3 linked regions of the Alligator mississippiensis genome follow. The protein of the gene in region 1 interacts with the protein of each later gene in a biochemical or structural test. Links are inferred from orthologs where the notes say so. Each region holds a gene or a part of one and is shown in the gene's direction. Other genes may lie near its edges.

The links.
Region 2: the proteins of FGF9 (region 1) and FGFR3 form a complex in vitro, tested with the Homo sapiens proteins (3 studies listed by BioGRID and IntAct, with this or other methods). The link is inferred for Alligator mississippiensis from reciprocal best matches to the Homo sapiens genes FGF9 and FGFR3.
Region 3: the proteins of FGF9 (region 1) and FGFR1 interact in a biophysical measurement, tested with the Homo sapiens proteins (2 studies listed by BioGRID and IntAct, with this or other methods). The link is inferred for Alligator mississippiensis from reciprocal best matches to the Homo sapiens genes FGF9 and FGFR1.

Annotation. Positions count from the first base shown.
Region 1 is NC_081824.1:432,939,204-432,946,857, reverse strand, and holds the start of FGF9 (fibroblast growth factor 9), read left to right. Parts: upstream 1-4,647; 5' UTR 4,648-5,931; coding exon 5,932-6,208; intron 6,209-7,654.
Region 2 is NC_081825.1:18,441,973-18,449,052, forward strand, and holds the start of FGFR3 (fibroblast growth factor receptor 3), read left to right. Parts: upstream 1-4,033; 5' UTR 4,034-4,120; intron 4,121-4,244; 5' UTR 4,245-4,297; coding exon 4,298-4,478; intron 4,479-7,080.
Region 3 is NC_081830.1:18,131,400-18,139,489, forward strand, and holds the start of FGFR1 (fibroblast growth factor receptor 1), read left to right. Parts: upstream 1-5,043; 5' UTR 5,044-5,223; intron 5,224-8,090. UniProt on the Homo sapiens protein: Tyrosine-protein kinase that acts as a cell-surface receptor for fibroblast growth factors and plays an essential role in the regulation of embryonic development, cell proliferation, differentiation and migration.

The DNA of each region.
Region 1 (7,654 bases):
TAGGACTGGCGAAAAATCATCATGTTATAAGAAATCTATGCAGGGCATGGAGTTGTAACTGTGAATCAAAGGGTAACTGTGATACTACATAAGAATGTAAGACATGCCATACTGGGTCATACCACGAGTCCAATGAGCTCAGTATTCTCAACTGCACAGTGGCACAGAATAGATGCTAAAGGTAAGAATATTTATTTAGGGTCTTTCTTGACTTAGTTATCCCCTGCTGTTCTTCTCTTATTGCTTCCAGCAATTAAAGGCCTACTATTGTGTTTAATACCCATCGATGGACCTATCCTGCATGAATTTCTCTTTGGAACCTGGTTAAATTGTCATCTTCTACATCTTGTAGCAATGAGTTTCACAAGTTAAATACATGCTGTGTGAGAGAGAATGTCTTTTTGTTAGTTTTAAGCATGCTTCCTAATAATTTCCTTGCATGTCCTGTACTTCTAGTATCGTGAGAGATGGCACATTCATTATTTTATCGACCGTTCACATATCCCCATCAGTCTTCTTTTCCTTAAAGTGAAAAGCCCCAGCCTATTAAGTCTCTCCTTACATGGAAGCCTTGCCATACCTTGACCATCCTTGCTGCCCTTCTCTTTTCTAGTTTGATCTTCTAGTTCTACCTGTTAACAGCTTTTACTTGGAATCCCATGTGTAAAATTCACAGTGCATTTTATAATCCTCTAGCTTGAAAAGTTTTATATATGTCAATTACTCAGCACAGGCAAAATATAGTTCTTGTGTGTTTCACTTTTCCATATTTCCTTCTTTAGGATCATAGAGAAAGAGGGCAGGAAGGGACTTCCAGAGGTCATGTAGTCCAACTTTCTGCCTGAGGCAGAATCATCCCTATCCAAACCATTCTATACAAACCCATTGTTAAACCTATTGGCAAAACTACAATCAACCCTGACAGAACCACAAGACATAACATCTTAACCTGCTGTAGGTGAAGAAAGGGGACAACAGCAGCCAATGTCTTGGTGCCATGAGGGTTGTTGAAATACTCCAAGATTCTAGTCTTTTAGCAGTATCTGATTTTAGATGTATTCTTATGTAGTTCTGAAATGGGAAATGAACTGTATTCTGGTACGTCAATCTTCTTCAGACTTATAAGCATTTATTTTATAGGGTAGGGCGACTTGAAGTCCATGGCCAAATCATTTTAGAGGTATATTACTGATTTTTTTCTGGTAATCTAGAATTTTGTAGCCAGGGGTGTAAGCAGTCTTCAACTACTAAATTGAAATAGTATTTGCCCAGCCATTTCTTCTTTGCAGGTTTCATTGGTGCTATTAATAGTTGACTGCCCTCCCTGCCCCTGCCTCTTTGGAGGGAAATGCTGCAACACAGCAACACAGTTTGTTCATACGTACAGCTTATTTCAAAGTACCTTCGAAGTCAGAATTCTTGTGATGAAGCCTGAAATAGTGCCTACATTTCAGAGCTATGCTTGCCTTTGCAAGCAAGGTTTTTCATTTGTGTATTATTCTGTTCATTTTATCCTGTATCATATCTCCCTAGTGAAAGTAAACCCTTCAAGGCATGGACAGGTTGGTTATATATGCAGCAAAGTCCTCCCATTGCAAATGTTGCATAGTGCTAGATCAGCAATAATAAAGCTTTGTCTTCCTACAATGAAATCTGCAGGATAGTATGGAAAACCTCCTTAAGTTCACACAGTGGGTTATTTCGGAGCCTATAGAGGCACATGTTGTAACTTCCAACATCTGCGGGACCTGGAAAAAAGGAAGTAACAGCCCCACAGAGATCTGATTCCTTCATAGTGTTGACAGGTCTCCTCTTCATGGCACCGTGAAGGCAAGGAACATAGGAATGTAAGATTGGAAAGGGACTCTTGGGCCATCAAAACCAATCCCCTGTGTTTGCAGGCAATCATTTAGTGAAAGAAACTCACAATGGATCTTATATCCACATCTAGTTAAACAGCCTTTTTCAGTTATAGGGGTTTAGACACAGAACGAGAGTTAACATTGTCTGAAGCATTAATTTGTTCAGATACGAGCAGATTTTCCTACAGATTAAGGGAGCAAGACATAGATTTAGCTTTTTCTCTGGTGCACTCCATACTAAATAGGCTTTTCCCTATATGAAAATGTAGCGATTTAAGGTCTGATAACTCAAGAATTTCTATGACTACACACAAACATTATGTATCTTACTGGAAAACTCTGGATCTTATATTTTTTATGGTACAGAAAATCCATTTCTACCTCTACAAGGTTGTGAGGCACAGGATTTTAGATATATCATGTGGTTGGTCCAGGATAGAGTATTCTCCATCCTGGGTAAAAGTTACATTATACATTCACCCTATCACACAAATACCATATTGATGTGGTACATGTGGGAAGAATACACAATGATGTAACAGTGCCAAGATTTATGACCCTGCATAGGGATGCAGGGCTTTTTTTGACCCACTCTGTCAGTGGGAGCTAAAATCCTGCATAAAGCTGCTGAGTAACTTCTGATGACTCATTGTGGCAGATGCAGTCTTTTAACTCTGCCAGGCTATAGGGAGGTGGGCGGGAATCTCTTGTTGAAGGGGACCAGTGGTAGAGATGTTCCTGAATGAATATCTTTGGAATAAAAGTGCAGACTTTTAATATTGCTTGAGATATCAATGAAACCAAACTTTTGTGGAGGGGTAAATTTGACTTTATACAGCATATGGAGCACTGCCTACTCACAGATTAATGTAATTTTGGGGAAGACCTGCATAATTCATGTGTGGCTTTAATCCTTATGAAATAACTCAGACATCAAAGCCTCAAGTTAGAGAAAACCTTTATACCACAAAATCTTCTATATCCCATAATATGTGTATATGTTGGCATATGCATCTTTTTAAGTGCCTTTAAAAAAAATAACTAGCAAAAATATCTCTTTACCCTCCAAAATAAAATGTACTTCCCATATAATATTGGTTTGAAACACAGGCTGGATGGTATTCAAACTTGGACTGGTGACAGATTTAAAATCCAATTTCTCATCATCCTGCAGGGTTAGAAATGTATTCTTTATATCACTGGGGAGGAGTTGGGAATACCCTTTCCACTTGTTTCTAATTCTAATTTCTAATATGTGGTAGATCAACACATATTAATCTGTACCATCACTTTGTTATATTACCACTTCTTTGCCAATGGTGCAAGTCTTAACTGCTAAAGTAATTTTCTAGCAAGGGTTTTTGGGTTCTCTCCCATGTAACCCATTAGGTATGAAAAGAGTTTCCATTAATATCCATAAGCCACTACTTTGTTCTTCTTTGGCTCTCTCTAAAACTTGCCTCTGTCACAAAATGCTTGATGTTAGGTAGGCCTGCTGTTTCTTATGCTATTCATGTCTGTGCCTTCTCTCCTTATCCTCCCTTCTTTGAAGCATACACCTGTTGTTTTTCATCATATGCTAGAAATATAAAATCTTCAGGGCAGACACCATCTCTTTTATCCCAGGTGCCTACATTACCTACTATAATAAAGCTGTGAACCCTGACAACAATAAATGTATGACACAGGGAGTTCTGCATTTTTTTCAAATATTTCTACAGGTTTTCACAGTTATCACCACTGGGCATGTCAGCAATGTACACAGTTGTGATAACAGTGCTTTAGGCCCTTCCTGAAGAATACCACAATTTTTATTTATAAAGCTAGAAGAGGCTGTCTTACCTTTTTCTTGTCTACCACTGAACAATTAAATCCTACTAAGTAGACACCTTGGGGCAGTAACTGTATCTCTTTCTGTTTGTACAGCATCAAGCACTTGCCAACACAGCTACTGGCAGGGGCCTCTGGATCCTGTCATAATACAAACAGTAACCACCACAGTAAAGTTAATACATGCATAACAGGCCCCATATGTGTCAGTGGAACAGGGTGTGATAATTAGTTTCATAAAAATAGCTAGTATGACATACTCAAGTTACAACCATGATCACAAAAATAGGAGATAATGATAATCCTGGTCCCTCCCTCTGAAGTGGCTGCCCACACTGGAGGGGGTAGGGGCAGAGGAAGGATGGGATCCCTCGGGTAAAAGACAGGGCTGCTATACCTGGAGAAAGTGGGAAAGGTCACTCCAGTTTGTGGTGCTTCCCCTAAGCTAAAAGAACCAGCAAGTCCGTGTTGCAAAGCTCTTCTCCAGGCAGGATCTCCAGCCTGCACAGCCTTGTGCCCTGCCACGTTGGAGAAGTATCCCCCGCGCTCTTACATCCCTCCCAAGCAGCCTGCTCCCCAGGCGCTGGCCCTCCTCCCCTTCCAGCGGGCTCACGGAATTGTCTTTCCCCTCCACGTGAGCACACCCAAGCCTTGCTGCAGGGAACCTTCTGCGCCCCCCTTGGCCCGCAGCGCCGTGACGTCGTGGGAGGGGGGCACAGGGCCCAGCCTTGCCGTGGGTGTGCGGCGCTTTGCAGGGGGAAAGCCCGGCTCTGGGAGGGGGGAGCCCCGCATGGCAGGGAAGCGAAGCAGGAAGGACTGGGCTGGGCTGGGGAGCGCGGCCGGGTTGAGCTGGAGCTCTCCCCCGCGCGGCCCCGAGGGGCGCCTCCGCGGTGCTGCGAAGTCCAGCCGTGGTGAATGCACCAGGGAGGGGAATTGGGGCGGGGGGATCTGCGGCACATCCAGCATGCACTGAAACTGCAGCGATGGGCACAAGGGGCAGCGGCACAAGCCGCGGCTTTGGCCGCACGCAGCACCTGGCCCGGGGGACCAGGCTTCGCACTCCGCGGCCGATGGGATGCAGCCCGGGAGTGGCGGAGCCCAGCCCCGGCTAAGCAGCGGAGCGAGGGGGGGTTTCCTCAATGTCACGGTGGACTTGGGCTACTGCAGGCATCTGCCGGGAGCTGCTGCCTCCCGCGGCAGCGCCGCTTTGTCCAGGGAGCGCCCGGCTCCTGCCCACCACAAAGTTTCTGGCCGCCGCTTTCTTCCTTTGCAGGCGCGATTGCCGCAGAGCAGCTAGAGCCGCTCGAAGGAGGGCAGAGCTGGAAGGGGAGCGGTATTGCAGCAGGTAGAGCTGGGCGCTAGGACCGCGGAGAATCCTCCCGGCAGCAATCAGGACTACCTTAAACCCAGCCCAATGCCTCTTCCTGCGCCACTCTGCGTGCTGGATGGAGACCCACAGTCAAGAGCTGCAGCTCAGTGCTGGAGTACAACATTGCACAGCGAGCCCTGCAGAAGCAACACCTGTTTCGAGCCAGCCAAGACAGACACAAGCACTTGTACGGTTCTGCTTTGCTTGTGGATCGCCAATAATCCTAAACCAATGGACATCTGCGGAGCCTCCTGAGGATTCTGGATAATAGATTTGGACGTCAAAAGTTTTTTTTTTTTTTTTTTTTTGGATTTATCTCAGCCAACAACGTGAGATCCCCCACCCCCCTTTGCAGGATTCATGCTGATGTATGCAGTCTGTTATAGAGTAAAAACAGCGCATGCCTTTCTGGAGTCAGAATCCATAAATCCTGACGTAGCCTGTGCATCTTAAAAAAAATCCCTATAACGCCTAGGTATTTAAGTTGCTATGGTCATTCTTGTCTTAAACCAAATGGAGAAACTACGGATTTTTTTCCTTATTACAGTTGGATGGGCTGAAGACCTTACTGCTTGCTAAGAGCTGGGGATCTATCTATACATATAGCGAGATACACATATAGATGTTTATACATATGTCAGTGTGTGAGTAGAAAGTGGTGGTTTCTTAGACTAACTGGTTTGACCTTGAACCTGTGCCACTCCAGCCAGAATATTACTTTTATTTATGCATTTAATGGATTGAAGAAAGAACATTTTCTCTGTAACCGCAGTAGGGAGGGGAGTGGAGTGGATATACCTAATCTTGTATCTCCTGGGTTTGGCACCATCATTATTGTTTGCTCTTATTCTCTAAAAGCAGAATCTTCTGATGGCTCCCTTAGGTGAAGTTGGGAACTATTTCGGTGTGCAGGATGCAGTAGCCTTTGGGAATGTGCCTGTTTTGCCGGTGGATAGTCCGGTTTTGTTAAGTGACCACCTGGGTCAGTCCGAGGCAGGTGGGCTACCCAGGGGGCCTGCAGTCACTGACTTGGACCATTTAAAGGGGATCCTCAGGCGGAGGCAGCTCTACTGCAGGACTGGATTTCATTTAGAAATCTTCCCCAATGGTACTATCCAGGGAACGAGGCAAGACCACAGCAGATTTGGTAGGTATTATCCTTAACCCTTTAGCGGCCATGTGATGAAATGTGCTAGAACTAAGGGGGGAGGAGGCTGGATTTGGATGCTGCTGCTGGTGGTGGTGGCGACGATGGCTGGGGTCCGGGGTTGCTGCTGGACGAGTGGCACAACTGCAGCAAAGCAAGAGCACTTAGCGAAGTCTCGGTATTTTTAGTAGCAGCCTCCCGTGTCCTCAAGTTGCGGCTCAGGGAGAAGAAGATGGGAAGGCTTTGTGTTCAGGACGTTTCTACTGAATGGGCTGATTTCGCGACTTTAAAGGGTGGGGGGGGGGTGTTAATCATTAACCACGACCATTGCAAATCCACCGAGTTTCCTCCAGGGAGTGGCTACCGCCTTGTACGCACGCGAAGGCAGGCTGCTCCTTCTTTCTCCCCCTGCAGCACCTGCCCGAGCAGCCGCCGGCACGAGAGGCTGCTCCGCCGGCCCGGAAGGTAGGCGCGGGGCCGCGGGCAGGTATCCAGGGCAGAGCCGGCGCGGGGCCGCCGGGAGGGAGGCAGCGGCATGCCGCAAAATGTGGCTTTCCGGAGCTATGCGCGCGTGAAGCCCGGAGCTAATTTTAAAGAGCATTCCGCAGATTTCATTTCCAGCGGGCGCTATTTGTGACTCAGCATCGAGGGCTGGAGGGAGGCTGGAGGGCTTGCGGCTTCAGCCACGACCAAGAGCCCGAGCGCCCCCGGCAGATGGGCCTGGAGCAGCCCTTCTGCCAGGGCAAGGCTGAAGGCTGGGCGAATACACAGCCCCGAGCCACTCTGCACGGACAAACTCCGTGTTTCAGGAGGGGGGTGTGCGTGTGTGGGGGGGATCGCGCCCCCTGGAGCTAGCCAGCCGGCCAGGCTCTCGGAAGGAGTTAACTTGTGAGTGAACCCACCTGACAGCACTCAAACTAGGTCGTTAAAACAAAGTCCTGGGGTGATCCGCCCCCCCCCCCCGCATGCTTGACTACCAGATGTCGAACAGGATCTAAGCTGCGCGGTAGTGCGAGGTGGGGCTGCTTAGATAACACCCGCCGGGGACTGACGATCTCCAAAGGGCTCCGGCACGGAGGGGGCAGGATCCACTCTTGCAGAGGCCCAGCCCGTCCTGTTGCCCCTGGGAAATGCCAGGGTCCTGCTCTAGAGCCGCTCCTGCCCGTCGCACCCACCCACCTTTCTGGCCCCGCCGCAGCTCCCAGAGCCCTGGCCCGACTCCCCCCGCTGGCCCCCTTGCAAAGCTGGCGGCAAAACAACCCAGCCAAAAAAAAAAAAAAAAAAAGTGCAGCTGGAGTTCCCTCCGGTGTCTTGCACGACCCGAGATAAAGGCAATAAAACGTCTAATAAAATACGGAGGGACATGCAATAAATTGCAGCTGGGCTTTCCAGCGACCGGGGGGAGGAAGGTTTATAGGTGGTATTCGTATCTGCCCGGCCTCGGGG
Region 2 (7,080 bases), on another chromosome or scaffold:
ACAGTCCGTTGGCACTTTCTAAATTACCTTTCTCAGTAATGAGCAGTGGGGGGAAAGCTGAGAGCTAACTGGATGAGACAGTCATTCTTAGAGTTAATTTCTTGGTGCTTTGACACTAACTTGTCTTAGGGTTTTGAACAAGTTGCTCTCTCTAGAGAGCAGACGGACAGTCTCTTTCAGAACAGAGTGCAGCATATATGTCGTTCGAACATAATGTGAACAGAATCCGATGTTGAGAATACAGCAAGGTACGCTCGTATCAAATATTCACAAGGAAAAAGGGCATCTATTGTTCTAGAGCATCTGGAAGAGAATTGCTTTTCCATGCAGCTGGGGATATTCAAGGTCACCAATAAGCCTAACGAGAAGTCTGAAAACGCAGTCTCTTCAGTGGTAAAAAGTAAACAAAGAATTAGCAATGCCAGCCACTCCTGCAGTATGATTTTTTTCACTGACAAATGTACCAAAAAATTAAGGTGAAAGCTGTACTTAACCTGGTTCGTATGTACCTTATGGCATAATGACCATAAAAATCAACTCAAACAGTGTTGTGTAGTGTTTACAGTCCCACATAAATGGATTTTATAGTGGGAGCATGGCTGAGACACAATCCAGAATCTGAGTTTTTGCTGCACATGATATCTTGGGAGCTATTACAATTACCACCAGTGGGGATCCAGCTTCCAGAAATCAGCATTTAAGCAGATCTGTATTCCACAGTTCAATGTGAATGCACTGGGCCAGGAGTTGATAAAAGGGAAAACTTAAACTATTCCACTCTAGGGAAAGCTACAAACCTTGAAGTTCTTACAGAACCATCTCAATCCCACTTTAATTTCCTCTTGTAAAGGGCTTCCAAGTATCATAAGCTCTTCCAAATGTTATAAGCTCCAAATGAAAAACAGTTCAGACCCATTAAAGGGTTGTGTTTACATGATTTGATTTCTAGGTTGTTACATCTCTTAGGAATCATAAGAGGTAATCCTGAAATTCACTCATATTTTCACCAAGTTGAGGAAGCACTTGGCATCACCTGATGTGATAGCACGTCCTAGCATCCTGAGCACAGACCTAGAGGCAAGAGAAACGTTACTGCTTCTTCTAGACTCACTTTGTGGCTTAGGAAAGGCATTTAATTTCTCAGTCTCCATTGCCTCATAGAACAAGGATGATAATAATTAAAGAGGAAGTGTGAGGGTTCATTAATTAATGCTGGGTAAACTTCTGATTTTCTTTGCACTGGCAATACAATAATATGAGATCACGTTTTCAAAAAACAGGAGCCTGGATGTCTTCAAAATGATAACGACCTCCAAATTTGCTCCACGCGCTATTTTTATTCTTATAATTGCTTTATTATTATTGATTTTCTGCCACCTCTGACACAAGCGCTGTGAAAGTAACTGTCTTTCATCTTACCAATTGTTGAGCCTGTAGATTAACCACATCTTAGTTATGCGTCTGATTTTCCCCCCATTGTTTTCACTTGAAGTGATTGTGTCACTCAAGAGTCTCCGCTCAGATTTCCTTGCCACAGGCCCATCTCAATGCTCTCTGACACGATATTGAGATGTCACTGTCTGTGTGACTGATGAAGGTTTCAAGACAGATTCCCATCTCGGTTACAACAGTGCAAACTCAGAGTAATTCCAGTGAAACCAGGAGCCACTCTAGAGTTACACTGAGATCTAAACCTGGCACATCATCATTAATTTGGAAGGGACTCTCAAAGCTGCCGCGTGCTGTAACACTCACGTTCGGTTTTTATAATTCTGACAATGTCCTGTATCCGCACAGGCTGAGGTGAACTACTCCAGCACAAGAGCGCTTTATTGCTGCCCTGATAAAGGGATTTCTCGGCTGATGTGCTAATATTTGCATCTCCCTCCTTCAGTGAATTACTTTGTCAAGAGGATTAAGACAGAAGTATGACTTATTCTCAGTATGATACAATTTGAATCACCTCTTAATGGCAAATGGTGCATGTCAATGAGTCAGCTTGGCTGTATCTGTAGGTATGTTGCATTGCCTTAGATGATGATGAGATAGCTGTAAAATTTTTAATGAATTTTAATCTCCACACATGGTGAAGAAGCTGGACAGAAAAACCTCACGTTGTTCAGAGGAAGGGAAATATGCTAAAGAACCCGGCTCTATAGTATAGAGTCTCTTAAAACTGGTTTCTTGGAGTCTGTGCTTCTGTTTACTGGACTGCTTTAATGCAATCTGAAATAACACTTTTGTCAATTTGCCCTCGTCCCATTAAAAATATAATGAAACATTTTAGATAATGCCACCCGCTGTTTAGGCACCACAGGGCTAGAAATCTTCAGGGACAATGTGTGATGTAAGCTGTACATACATTTCTAGCAATGATGTACATGAAAATCCAGTGATGGATAAAATACGGATCGTCCCTGTTTAATGACGACGATGAAAACTAGCACTTCCACAGACGCAGCTACCCAGCCTGCTGTGGAAATACTACCTAATGAATCATCAAACCCCGCTAGTGTGTTACATCGCATTACATTACGTTGCATTACAGGATTGCAAAGGATGTTTGTCGTCATTTTGAGGAGATCCATCCAGAACTTTTCTTTCCTCTTCTCAGCTCTCCTTCCACCCCACCTATAAGAACCTGAGGCGCGTTTAAACCTGGAGCATCATCTTTCATTTGGAAGGGACTCTCAAAGTGGCCACGTGCCGTAATATTCGCTTTAGATTGTTAGGAACCAAGGATCATCAAATTCAATCCCTTTGCTACTGATTGTTATAATCCCTGGATGGATGTCTCCTTTTGGGACACCGGTGGCAAGGTGCTGAGAAGGGATCAGAGGGGAGAAATCAAAGAATCATAGAAGTAGGCCTAGAAGGGACCTCCAGGGGGTCTAGTCCAGCATTTCTCAAACCATGGGTCACGACCCAAAAGTGGGTTGCAAGAATATATGAAAGGTTTACAAACAAACTTTAAAAATGGATCTTCCTTTAAAGAGGAAAAACACGGGAAACTTGTGAGTTTTCCCTCACAGGCTGACAGAGGTCCAGCTTGCAAGGGGCTGCTTGGGGACCCCTGGCCCCACACAGCATTTACACATGGGTCCCGGTACAAAAAAGGCTGAGAACCACTGATCTAGTCCAACCTCCACCTGAGGCAGGATCAGCCCTATCCAAACCATCCCGTGCAGTCCATAATCTAAACTCTGAACAAGAGGACCATCAACCCTGACAGAGCACAGACCTGACACCCAGCGTCCTGCCCCTATGAAACACTGTCAACACAGGCTGCAGAGGTCCTGGGTGGAGGGCCACCCCCACCCCCTAGTTAGGCAAAACCCCCACAGTCCCTACCCATCCCACCACAGAGTAAAATACTTTCCTGACCCCAAATCTGGCTACCGGGGGACCCCCGTCCCTGACCGGTGTCAGGGGCAGCTCTCAAGACTACCCATACCTTCTTTGGTCCGCAGTCCCAGCCCCACGAACGCCCCCAGCTACCAGCAGCCTTCGGGGTGGGCAAACCAGGGCCCCACACCTTAGGGGTCCCAAAAATGTTGCCACAAATATCCGCCTTGCTTACAGACCCTCAAAATTAAGCCTCGACGCATTACGACCCGCCGAGTCCCTAAACCACATCACGAGGTGTGTCTATTCGTGTGTCAGTCGCACGCAAAGGTCCCCATTTGGAGATTTCCCCCCAGATCTCCTCCTGACTCTAAAACTTGCCGCGGAGCCCGCGTGTCTCTAGTTCAGAGCCCCCCCATCATCTTAACTACGCCTTGAAAGGGCGGCTGTGGTGCAAGGACAGCGGGGAGGCGCTGCTCGCCGGCCCCACATGACTGTGGGCGCTGCGGGGACGCCGGACCCCGGTGGAGGGGCGGGAGCGCAGCCAGGTGCGCTGCGGGCAGGGAGGGAGCGAGGGAGCCGGGCCGGGCCGGGCCGGGCCGGGATGCCCGCGGGGCAGGCGGGGCGGCAGCACGGACCCTCCCCCGGGGCCGGGCGGAGCGCGGGGCGGGGTCCGGGGCAGGCAGTGGGGCTGCGGGCGGCCGGGCTCACAAGCGCGGCGGCTGCGGAGCGAGCAGTGGCGGCGGCGGCGGCGGCTCCTGCATGCGCGGGGCAGGTAGGCGGCGGTGCGGGGCTGTGGGGCGGGCCGGGCCGGGCCGGGGCTGGGCTGCACCTGCTGGTGCCCGCGGGCCCGGGGGTGCTGCGCCCGCTGACGGGCCGCGCGCGTGTCGCCCGTGCAGAGCCTGCAGCGTGATCGGGAGCCCGGGCAGGGCGGCCAGCATGCGGCCCCGCGATGTCTGAGGCTGGCGGGGGCAGCGCCGCGACCAGTCCGCGTCCCGGGAGCGCGGCCACAGGAATGATTGCTGCGTGGGGCGCCTTCTTCTGTGTGTACCTGGTGGGGACCGTCGGCAGCCGCCCGGCGGCCACGCTGCCCGGCTCGGACCCGGAGGACAGGAGCACCCGCAAGCCCACGGGTAAGAGGGAGGATGCTCGGGGCGGTGCGGGGCCAGATCTCTCCTGCACCCTCAGGCTGCGCTTGGCAGGTGCTGGGCGCCCCGGCGAGCTTGCTTCCCCCCCCGCCCCCCACCCCTCCAACTGGGAAGGGTGACGCTTTCCTCGCTGGGGCTGCAAGGGACCTCGCACATCTCCCCCATGCACTCGGGCAGCAAAGCCCGGCGCCTGCGCCGCTTTCGGGAGGCAAAGCCCACTGTCCACTTGAAATGTTCCGGGATGTAGGTGGTTTTCTGAGACGAAAAGAAAGGCAAAAATGTAGAAATCTTGGTTCCAAAAATATATATATATATATATATATATATATATATGTATGTTTTGTAATCTCTCAGCCGGTCTAATAAGAGGTATCATTTTGGAGCCGTGCATTGTAGATTCTTTGCATTCCCAGAGGTTTCCAAGACTTTCACTTGACAGCCGGCACCTCTGGATTGCTGCTCAAGCGCGCGGCGCGATAAAGGCCAGCCAAAGATAAAGGGGAACGTATGCCGGTTCTTGGTAGGGTGATGGGAGGGCAGATCGTATAAACCAGTGCTCATCTGTATGGATGGAGCGCAGCACACAGTAAATCCCAGGTTAGTCATAAATGTAAGCACCTTTCGGACCACAAGCAAGGGGTAAAGTGTTCTGTTGATCATTTAGACTCCGAAGTCAGAACTGAAACTTTAGCTTCAAATACGAGTTAGATCCACAGTGCAGCCCTGTGCTTGAGATTGCTCTGTTCTGGACTCGGGAGGACGTTTGTTTATTTGGTAGAGTTTGTCCTGCAGTTGTTTTTTTTTCCCGCTTATCCGGGCTAGAATGACCCAGTGAGAATAGATTTAGAATTGAGCTCACTTTCTTAGAGGACTTTTTGTTACATCTCTGCAGTCACATACATACAACATGTATCAACAGATTTGGTTCATGGCACAGCTTGTACGTGGAGTTTGCAACAGCAGAGAGATTTGCTTATCCAGATTGCAGACACACATTTGAAATCCAGACTGAATGAGAGGCAAGCATTTGTGTGTGTATGGATGCTTCTTAGAACTATGATACCCCTTGTTTTATCCCAATTTTTTTAAGAGGAGGTTTTGAAGAGGATGTACTGGATTGCGAACGTGTTGAAAGGGAGGAAATATTTATGGGAATCTACTAACTTCTCCTGCCTTGAATGAAAATGTTTCTATCATGAGTAAGGAAAGATAAGGTACATGACAAAAACTGGTTTAAAAACAGAGAGACTGTTTAAAGTTGGTGTCTCTCTGATATGCCTCAGCTGCTACCTGAGTCTGTTTATTTTTTCAAAGCTCTTTAATGGAAGGTCGCCTCTCCTGCTTCACTCTTTTTTAAGGTTCCTTGCACCAAACAAAAAGTTCCCATTGTTCAGGAAAGGGTTGAGGCATGTTTGCCAAAAAAGTGACAGGGGAAAAAAATGTGCTTCGTGGAGGCTAGGGGTGGGGGCACTCTGTCTACCCCCCCCCCCCCCCCCCGCTTTTGGTTACGGCCATAAATCACACGTGGGGTTGGTTTTGTTTTTGAGAAAGTACTAATAAAACACCAGATTCTTAGTGTAACTTGTTTGGCTCATTTTTCACAGCCAAAAGAATTGATTTATAGTGCAGCATCACAGCTACTTTGTCAAAGCAGATGAGTTTGGGGTTTGCAAAGGAAACAAGAAAAGCGTGCGCTAGTAAGCTGAGCAAGGGGGTTGCTGAATTTCAGTGGCAGCATTTTTCTTCCTATTTTAGGCCAAAAATATACAGGGTTGGCTTTTATGCGCAAAATTCTGCTCTTCGTAACCCCAGGATAAATCTGGAAAGTCTCCACTAGCTTCGTTGGAAGCCCCCTGGAGTTGAGCATCTGCAGATTATAAATTTGGGGGCCACAGCAGTATTATAATGAAGCAGTGTTGCTCCGTCCTGTAAGGCAGAATGAGTGCTGAAATTGTTGAGATGACATTTGAAATACAACAAATAGTGTACACCCAAGTCTTTCAGGGTTTTTCTAGGAGAGAAGTGGTTAAAAAGAATGGTCCTAGGGCGATGCATCTCCCAGGGACGTAACCAAAATTTCCAAATTTTCTGTGGAAAGTCTACATACGCGTTCTATTTTTACCATATTGGCTCTTCAAAGTAATGGCACGTTTCTGATCCCACTGAAGCTGGTGCCAACGTTCCCATATGCGTGAGCAGGATTTGACCTGATCTAAGTGCTTCTGTTCCACTAATGCACAGCATATTTGTAAGTGTTTCTCTGTCAGTTGCAGCAGTTCAGAGTTTTCCCTCTGTAAGAAAAGAGATTTCACACACGCGCACTTTTGATGTGCACAGTGTTACTGAAACAGCCCCGAAGGCTATAAAACCAGATTGATTTTTGGTAGAACATGCACATGTGGAAAGCCACTCAAATGAAGAGGATCTGAAATATGCCTAGCAAAACTTTTTGGTTGGCTTGTCACAGTGTCCCGTTGTCCAGTCGGTTGTGGGCAAGGGGCGAGGTTTGAATGCGCAGGGCACTGTTGAGGAAAAGATTGTGCAAAAGAAACTGTATAAAGAATATAAACATTTGGAGCCAAGTAAA
Region 3 (8,090 bases), on another chromosome or scaffold:
ACCCCCTGCTCCAAGCAGGACCAGCCCCAACTATAACATCCCAGCCAAGGCTTTGTTGAGCTGGGCCTTAAAAACCCCTGAGGATGCAGATTCCACCACCTCTTGGGTAACCTTTTCCAGTGCTTTACTACCCCGCTAGTAAGCAAGTTTATCCTAATATCTGACCTAAACTTCCCTTGCTGCAGTTTGAAGGGGCCTCATATCACAGTATCAGACCTGCAGAGCAACAAAAGACCCAGCTTTGAGAACAAGCATGGAGCGCTGAAGGCTTTTGCCCTCGGCACCTGGAAGGATAAGCAATGCCCCAGTGCTGGCTGAAGCTCTCCCTCCTGGCTGTTGAGATGCATGCTATGAGTCTTGCCAGCCTGCGGCATCTAATGGTGTCTCGTGGCACCACATCCCGATTCCCCACCCTGCTGGGGGTCCCCCCTTGGAGCACTCATTAACCTTTGATCTGCACTTCTCAGTCCCTCTTTTCCCATTTGCTGCACCTTTCTTCAATCGGCATGTATCCAAAGTTGTCATGTATCCAATGGCAACTTGTATCCAATGGCCTCCCTAATTGAGGGAGGCTAATATTTTTCTAAGGGGAAAAATCACAGCCCCCTTCTCAACCAGCCCAAGTTGGCGCCTTGCTTATGTACGTGACACGAGACAGGGACCCTGCTCTGGATTAGATGGGTGCTGGTCCAGAGCTTTGTGCCTGAGTGGAGTCACGGCAGCGTGGATGGGAGCAGGGTCCTACCCAGGGGTCCAAAGGCATTGCATGTTTGCACCCTCTAGCTGGTTTGTGGTGGGTGAGATGTTGACTCCTCTCTCCGGGAGGCATAACCCTTGCTCCCAGGCCTCGACTCTCCATGTTTTCCCACCCTTCTGATGCTTTGCCCCCACCCCTCTGCCTTGGCTTCCAGATTCCAGTTTTACTGATGGGATGCAGTACACCCGTTTGCTGCCTGCCCAATTGATCAAATGCCAAGTGCTCTCTGAATGCTGCATCTGGGGGTAAAACCCACAGGGAGTCAGTTGGGCTCTGGGTCTCTCCTCTCCTATGGGCAGCTGAAGGATGCCCTGCCTGCTCCCTGGAGACATCAGATGGATCACTTTCACTTAATTACCATCAGATAAACAGCCAAGTGGCAGCAGCTGGGGGATGTTGCTGTGCTTTTGAAATGCAGCCAAGGGAAAAAACAGGTTTGGGGCACTGCTAGCTGCAAAGGGAATGGTACTGCGAGGCTGCTGGGGATGGGCTCGGGAGCAGCAGAGGTGGGGGACTCCGGAGCCTGGGCTTTGCTGGCTCAAAGGGTTTGCACTGGCCCGCCTGCACAGGAGGCTAACGCTCCAGGGCAGCCAGGCTCCAAGCCACTGCGCCCCTGCTGCAGCACACACTGGGGCCTGGGGGTAAAGCGCAGGCAGGCTGTCACATCGGAGCCTGCAGTCTTCTCCTGGAGGCCCCACAGAGCACCCAACTAGCCAGCAGGCTCCCAGCAGCAACAGAAGTCTGGCTGAAGCTACGTGGCACACGTATGTACATATACACACACCTCGGACCCCCTGGGTATGAGATGTGCACTGGCACCCATACAGATGCCTGCAGTCCCTTTCATGGGTGCACACTAAACAATGCCTGTGCAACCATGCAGGGATGATCCCTCACGTGTTTGCACATGGATACTGTTGCACATACCTAGGGCGGTGGGGCTGCAGAGCACCTTGCCTGTCTCTGACTGCAGGGGTTTATTAGCCTGCAAGCTGGCCAGCTGCCTCGGGATGGCTCTGCACCCTCGTGTGCTCCAGCCTTTCAGGGAGAGATGAGGCTGACACAGTCTTTGTCAAGAACCTTTCAGGGGAAGCTCTTTGTCCTCCTGCCTCCCCCTCTCTGAACCTAAACACCATGCGCCTGCTTTTGTTTTCTAAACTCTGCCTTGGGACTGAAAAGGCACCCTTTGGGGGGCTGCAGATCTTTAACCAGGCAACTTTGGCCAGACAAAAACAGCCCTATTGTTTCATTCTTCCCAGTCTTTTATGGTGCTCCATTTTGGGAGCCAGCTTCTCCCAGCCAGGGTGCTGGGGACTTCGAAGAGCAGCACAGGGCTGGTCAACAGAGGCTGAGGGTGTAAATCTTTACAGGCTGCACAATCTCCCTTGGCGTCTTGCCGAGCACAGAGCCCACTGTCAGTGTAAGAATAATGATTGTTCAGTAATTAATTGACTGCTCACCATTAGTTAGTTAAATTTATAATGAGTGCTAGGCACTGTACATGCACGTCATAAAAGGATGCCCCCCTTCTTATGGTGTATGCAATCCATGCAATGGATTTCTGCACTTGCTTACCTGGCAGCCAGCTGGAAGAAGTGAAGAGAAGCCCTGGGCAACCTGCTGTGGGGAACAAGGATGGAGTCCCTGTCTACAGCCCATCCCCAGCAGCAAGCCAGTGTGGCTGGAGGGTTCCTGCCCAGCTTTATTGGTTCCTGAGCCATACACCAGTGCACCATAGGCATAGTACAGACAGCTTGCAATGCCCCATCAGGACTTGCCCCTGGGGCAGGGGTGGTTAGGTCTCCTTGGCATGTTTGCTCCACATCCCAGCAAGGGGCCTGGCACTGACTAGTACTGACTGGGTACCCAGGGCACCAGATGGTAACAACACCCAGCAGCTATGGGTCTGAAGCACTGGTGTATGGCACGGGGTTGCCAGCACGGGAGCAGGATGATGGGCAAAACCCATCCGCCTCCCAGGAGCTAGGATTCTTTCCCTCACTTCTGCAGGCTACAAATGCTTTAATCAGAGCCCCCAAATACCAGACCACTTCCATCAGGCTTCTGCCTTGTTAATCCAGCCAGGCAGGAAGCCATCTCTCAAGTAACAATAGGGGCAAAGGGGTGAGCCCTGCTCTCCTTATCACAGGGAGGTGCTGAGGTCCAAATTCTAGCAAAGCCATTTCAGGGCCCACATTATGCCTGGGACAAAAGCTCAGCAGGGTCCTGGGGACCTGCTGCAGAGACAGCAGTGAAAAGCAAGCAAGAAGCCCTTGTCCCCGAGTATCACGCTCCCTTGGCGTCCTTGCCCCCCTGCTGTGCTCCATGGGCAGCTCATGTCCCATGCTGCTGTCCAGGTCTTCACACTAGGGATGGGTCACCCTGCCTCCAGAGGCTGAGCTCTTTGACTGTGGGCATGGAGCCCTTCAGAAAACCCCAGCCTCTGTGACCCATCTGGCTAGGAGGGCACTTTGACACCGGTGCCATGCTGCAATGTGTGGGGCATTTTGCTCCCGGTGATCTGGGGAGCGAGGAAGGATGCTCGCTCTAATTTCATTCTGAAACTGGCAGTTGTGTTGTGCAAACTGACTTGTGAGAGGCTCTGGGTGTCCATCTTCTCCCTCACCCCACTGTCACGGCACGGGGGTCTGTGTTTTGGAAACCCTTCCCCTGTGACGGTGGTGACCTGCTCTGCATGGAGACAGTCCTGGGTGGTGCAGTTCCCTCCCTTCACTCCCTGCATCCACGGGTATTTATCAATCAAGCCCAGCAATAAAAAAAAGCCCATGCAATAACAGGCTTGGGCATCCATAGTTGAGCAGCTGCCCAAGCCGGGGACGGACTGCTCTGGTTCTAGAGATGGATGCCCAGTACTTGCTTCAAATCTGGTCACGGTGATTGACAGGGCTAATTCTGTCTGTCCTGGTCCATATTATCATGTAATCATTTGCACATTGCCTGGTACACATCTTCCTCTGCCTGCCAGGAGTTATCTTCAGTCTCACTCAGGCCTGCCTGGCTGCCCATTTTCCTGAGTCAGAACTGAACCTCCCTGTGCAGTCAGCACTAGCCCGGGCACCCCCGGCCTGGGGGAAGCTCCCTCCCTCTCAACCCTGCCCTGCCTGGGGGACGGCAGCCTGAGGATGCTGAAGCTGAGCAGAGTTGGGGGAGGGCCGTGGCATAGCAGCATGTGCAGCATGTTTCCCCCGCACGCAGCGTGTGGAAGGCAGGGTGCTGCCCACAAGCAGAGGGTTTCTTTGCACTGTGTTTCTCCAGAAGCCCCTGATGGAGCGGTGCATACCTCCAGGATCTAGTCAGCTCTGCACCAAGCCCTCAGGATGCAGCGGCCCCGCTCCAAAGCCAGGAGTAGGAGACCTGTGAGAGCTGCAGTCCATCCAGGGACAGCGGTGCTGACCAGGCCTGCTCTTCCGGCACGCTGCACATCTGCTGAGCAGTGATTTTTATCAGTGTGTGTGTGCCCGCATGTTCACAAGCAGGTGTGCCTGCATGTTCACAAGCAGGGTGTGTGTGTGTGTGTCCACAAGCAGGGGATATATGTGTGTCCCCACAAGCAGGTGTGCCCGCATGTGCACAAGCAGGGGGTGCGTGTCCGTGTCCCCACAAGCAGGTGTGCCCACATGTCCACACCGGGGTGGGGGGGGAGGGTTGCCACAAGCAGGTGTGCCTGCATGTCCACAAGCAGGGTGTGTGTATGTGTGTCCACAAGCAGGGTGTGTGTGTGCCCACAAGCAGGGGTGCCCACATGTCCACAAGCAGGGTATGTGTGTATGTGTGTGTCCAAAAGCAGGGGTGCCCACATGTCCACAAGCGGGGGGGATGTGCGTGTGTCCACAAGCAGGGGGTGCGTGTCCCCACAAGTAGGTGTGCCTGCATGTCCACAAGCAGGGTGTGTGTGTCCACAAGCAGGGGTGCCCGCATGCCCACAAGCAGGGTGTGTGTGTGTATCCCCAAAAGCAGGGGTGCCCACAAGTCCACAAGCAGGAGGTGCATGTCTGTGTCCCCACAAGCAGGTGTGCCCGCAGGGTGTGTGTGTGTGTGTGTGTGTGTGTGTCCACGAGCAGGGGTGCGTGTGTGTCCCCCCGCAGGTGTGCGAGCGGGTCGGTGCGGGGACTACAAGGCCCACGAGGCCGAGCCGGGCGGGCTGGCGGCGCGGGGGCGGCGGTGGGAGCGGGGCCGGGCGGGCCGGGCCGGGCCGGGCCGGGAGGGGCGCGGAGCCGGGAAGGCGGAGCCGGGAGGAGCGAGCGGGAGGCGGCGGAGGCAGCGCCGGGACTCGGGCACCGGCAGCGGCCGCGCATCGCCCAGCTCCCGCAGCACCTCCCGGCCCGGCCCGGCCCGGCCGCACCGCCCCCCGCATGGAGCCGGGGCTGTGACCGCGCGGCCGGGGGGCTGCGCCTCTGCCCTGCCTGCCGGGGCCGGATCGCGCCGGGACAGGGCCGGCCCGCACGGTGAGTAGCGGCGGCGCCGCGGGAAACTTTGCGCCAACTCGGAGCCCGCGGCGCCTTTGTGCGAGTGCGAGCGGGCGGCCACGTGCGCCGAGCCGCCGGATCGGGGCCGCGGGCTCCGGGCCGGCCCCGTCCGAGGTGCTGCTCCCCGGCCGCGCGGAGGCGGCTTGGCCCGGGTCGGGCTGGCAGAGGGAGCCGCGCTCCCGGCCCCGCTTTGTTCCCCACACCCGGCCTCGCTCGCTCCTGCTCTTGGGTGAGCAGATCCCTGCCTTGGGGCCCGTGCGGAGGTGCTCCCCCGCGGGCTGGTGAAGGGGCCTGCGGGTACCCGGCTGGGCGCGAGGTGCTTGGGGGGATCTGTCTGCTGTCAGAGGCACTTGGTTCCTTTCCGGGAACACGGGTGTCAGGCGGCGGGGAGGGGACGCGCCTGGGTTTGGGGGCCGTTCTCCTGCCCTCTCCACCTGGGCCACATCTGCATGGCATCCTCAAAAGAGCAAAACTGCTGGGAGCCCTTCCTGCCGGCACTTGGACCCAGCAAGAGACGTAGTGCGTGCCAGCAGCAGGATTTTTGCGCTGGTGAAGATGAACCGGTGCAAAGTGAGCTTTGGACTCTGAGCGCGGCGTGCGACCGCGGAGTAGCTGTGATGGTACCGGATTCCCGGCCTGGCCTGCGGAGACCGAGCCCAGCCGCCTCTGCGGCAAGGGCCTGGTGTGTTGGGCAGTTCTGAAAATCACTGTTGGGTGCCAAGTGGCCTTCTCAGGATTTTGTCACAGGTGTTAAGAGAACCAGGGTGTTTTTCTTCAAGTCCCAGGGCTCGGAGTCCTGGGATTATACTGGCTCCTCATTTTGTTTGTTTAAAGTACACTTCTGGCCCTTACATGGCAGAGGGAGGTAGCAAACACAAGCCCTACAGGCTCAAAAATCAGCAGCAAATAGGAACCTGATGTTTACCTCTCTTTAAAACAGTGTGATTTGGAGAGGGAGCTGACTTGCGCTTCTTGACTTCTCTCTTTACAACCAACTGGGACTGTTCCCTTCCCAAATGGCCCACCGCCAGATGGTGAGGGTCTGTCATTCCCTATTCAGAGCCGTTTGCAGTTTTCGTTGGAGAATCCCTCTTGTTCGGGAGTGGTGAATGCTCGCTCCGGGCTGGCAAGCCGTTCCCTTGGCTGGACGTGGTATAGGGATCTAACCCACCCAGTGCATCAGTCAGCTGCTATTTTCAGAGGCGAGATTTGCAATTCTCCTGTGCTGGTTCGTTGTGTGAACCACCCCAGTGGGGATGAGGAACCACTGTACCTCTTCCAACCAAACCTTGAGTCACGTAGTTGCTTTTAACCTATTCAGTTCCTGCTGTTAGCGATTGAGGGTGCCTGTTATTGCTCCTGTGCCGTGTTTGGAGGCGGTGAATAACTAACTGATGTGCTGTGAATGGACAGGGGGCAGGGGCAGCTGTTCTGGTTGAACATACCATTTCCTTTTGGTGAACGTTTGAACTTTAAGACGTGCTTTACCCCCGCCTTGGCTGATACAGTGTGTATGCTGCGAAGGGTTTCATTTCCCAGCGTCCCCAACATGGGGGAAGCCAAATTCGCTCTCAGACTTGAACAAACCTCGCTGCTCCAGCTCCCCTCAGCTCCCACCAAGGCAGTGTGCAAACAGAGGTGTGTGTGTGTGTGTGCTTGTGTGCAGGAGACGGGGTCCTGCCAAGTCTTGAGAGATCAGTGGAGAGGGCCCTTGCTTTTTGCTGGGGCTGACAGCCATTTTTCCCCACACAGAAGCACTTCCCCTCTTAATCTCCGGGGTGGCTGGCACGCACCGGTGCCTTTCCATTGTCTTGCTCGGAGAGGATTAAAATAAATCAAGACAGTCCCTGCCCTGGAACGGTCAAGGAAGCAGCAAGGCTCTCCTCCGGCTCCAGGCTAGCAGCCGTTTTCCTCGGGACCCACAAATCTGTCAGCATTGAACGCTGGCTGCCTGGTGACTTCCATTCCACTTTACCGGGAGGCGCGCGGGCTGGAAGGGAAGCCCGAGCTGCTTCCAGGATCTCAGGCAGGCAACTTTATTGTTCCCCCTAGCTGTGTGCTGAGTTGAAAAACGGGAACTCCAACTCGCTTTGCCTGCCGTGCTGGCCTGTTGCATTCGCAACGCACGTGCTGGCTGCTCTGGCGCCTCCAGCCCCCCTGGAAATGGCCGTTTGGTTTTGATCAGCTCACAGATGCACTAGTCCTTGGCAGCTGAGCTTCCTCCACCACAGCCAGGCCTCAGAGGTCTTTGCCCTCTCTTTGGTGCATGTTTGTCCCCGTCGCCGGTCAGCCACGCTTGCTGAAATGACGCGTGCCTGTCCTCTCCCCTTCTCTCGCACCTCTCAGCTCAGTGCAGGAAAAGCCAGCGAGTTCTTATCCAGCCGCCAAATAGGATTATGCCCATTTTGGGGACGTTACAGCCCATAGCTTCATCTCATCTCAGCTGGCGGTAGAACTGGGATCCGGGGCCCTCTGGGCACGATGAGGGGGCAGGACTGATCCTGTCCTCCCCCCTGTTCAGTAGGCTGCCCTCTGTTTGGAATAAATGCACACCTCGGGGGGACTTGTTAAGTGTTAGTGGCCTCCAGGACTGTGACCCTTTCCACACTTTCACATCCCTCCCCAGGCAGGGAAGGCTGTCAGCTATCAGATGTGGTGCACAGAGCAAGCTCCGGACGTCGAGAGGCCACTTAAGTGAGAGCTTTTAATTTCCTTCTCCAGAATACACAGCTTTCAATCTTCTCCAGGTCACTGAAGCTGCCGAGTCCTTGGGCCGCTCCTCCAGGCACAACACATCATGTTGCCTGGAAGGGTTAAATGGCTGCGCGTTGTGCGCTTGGATATTT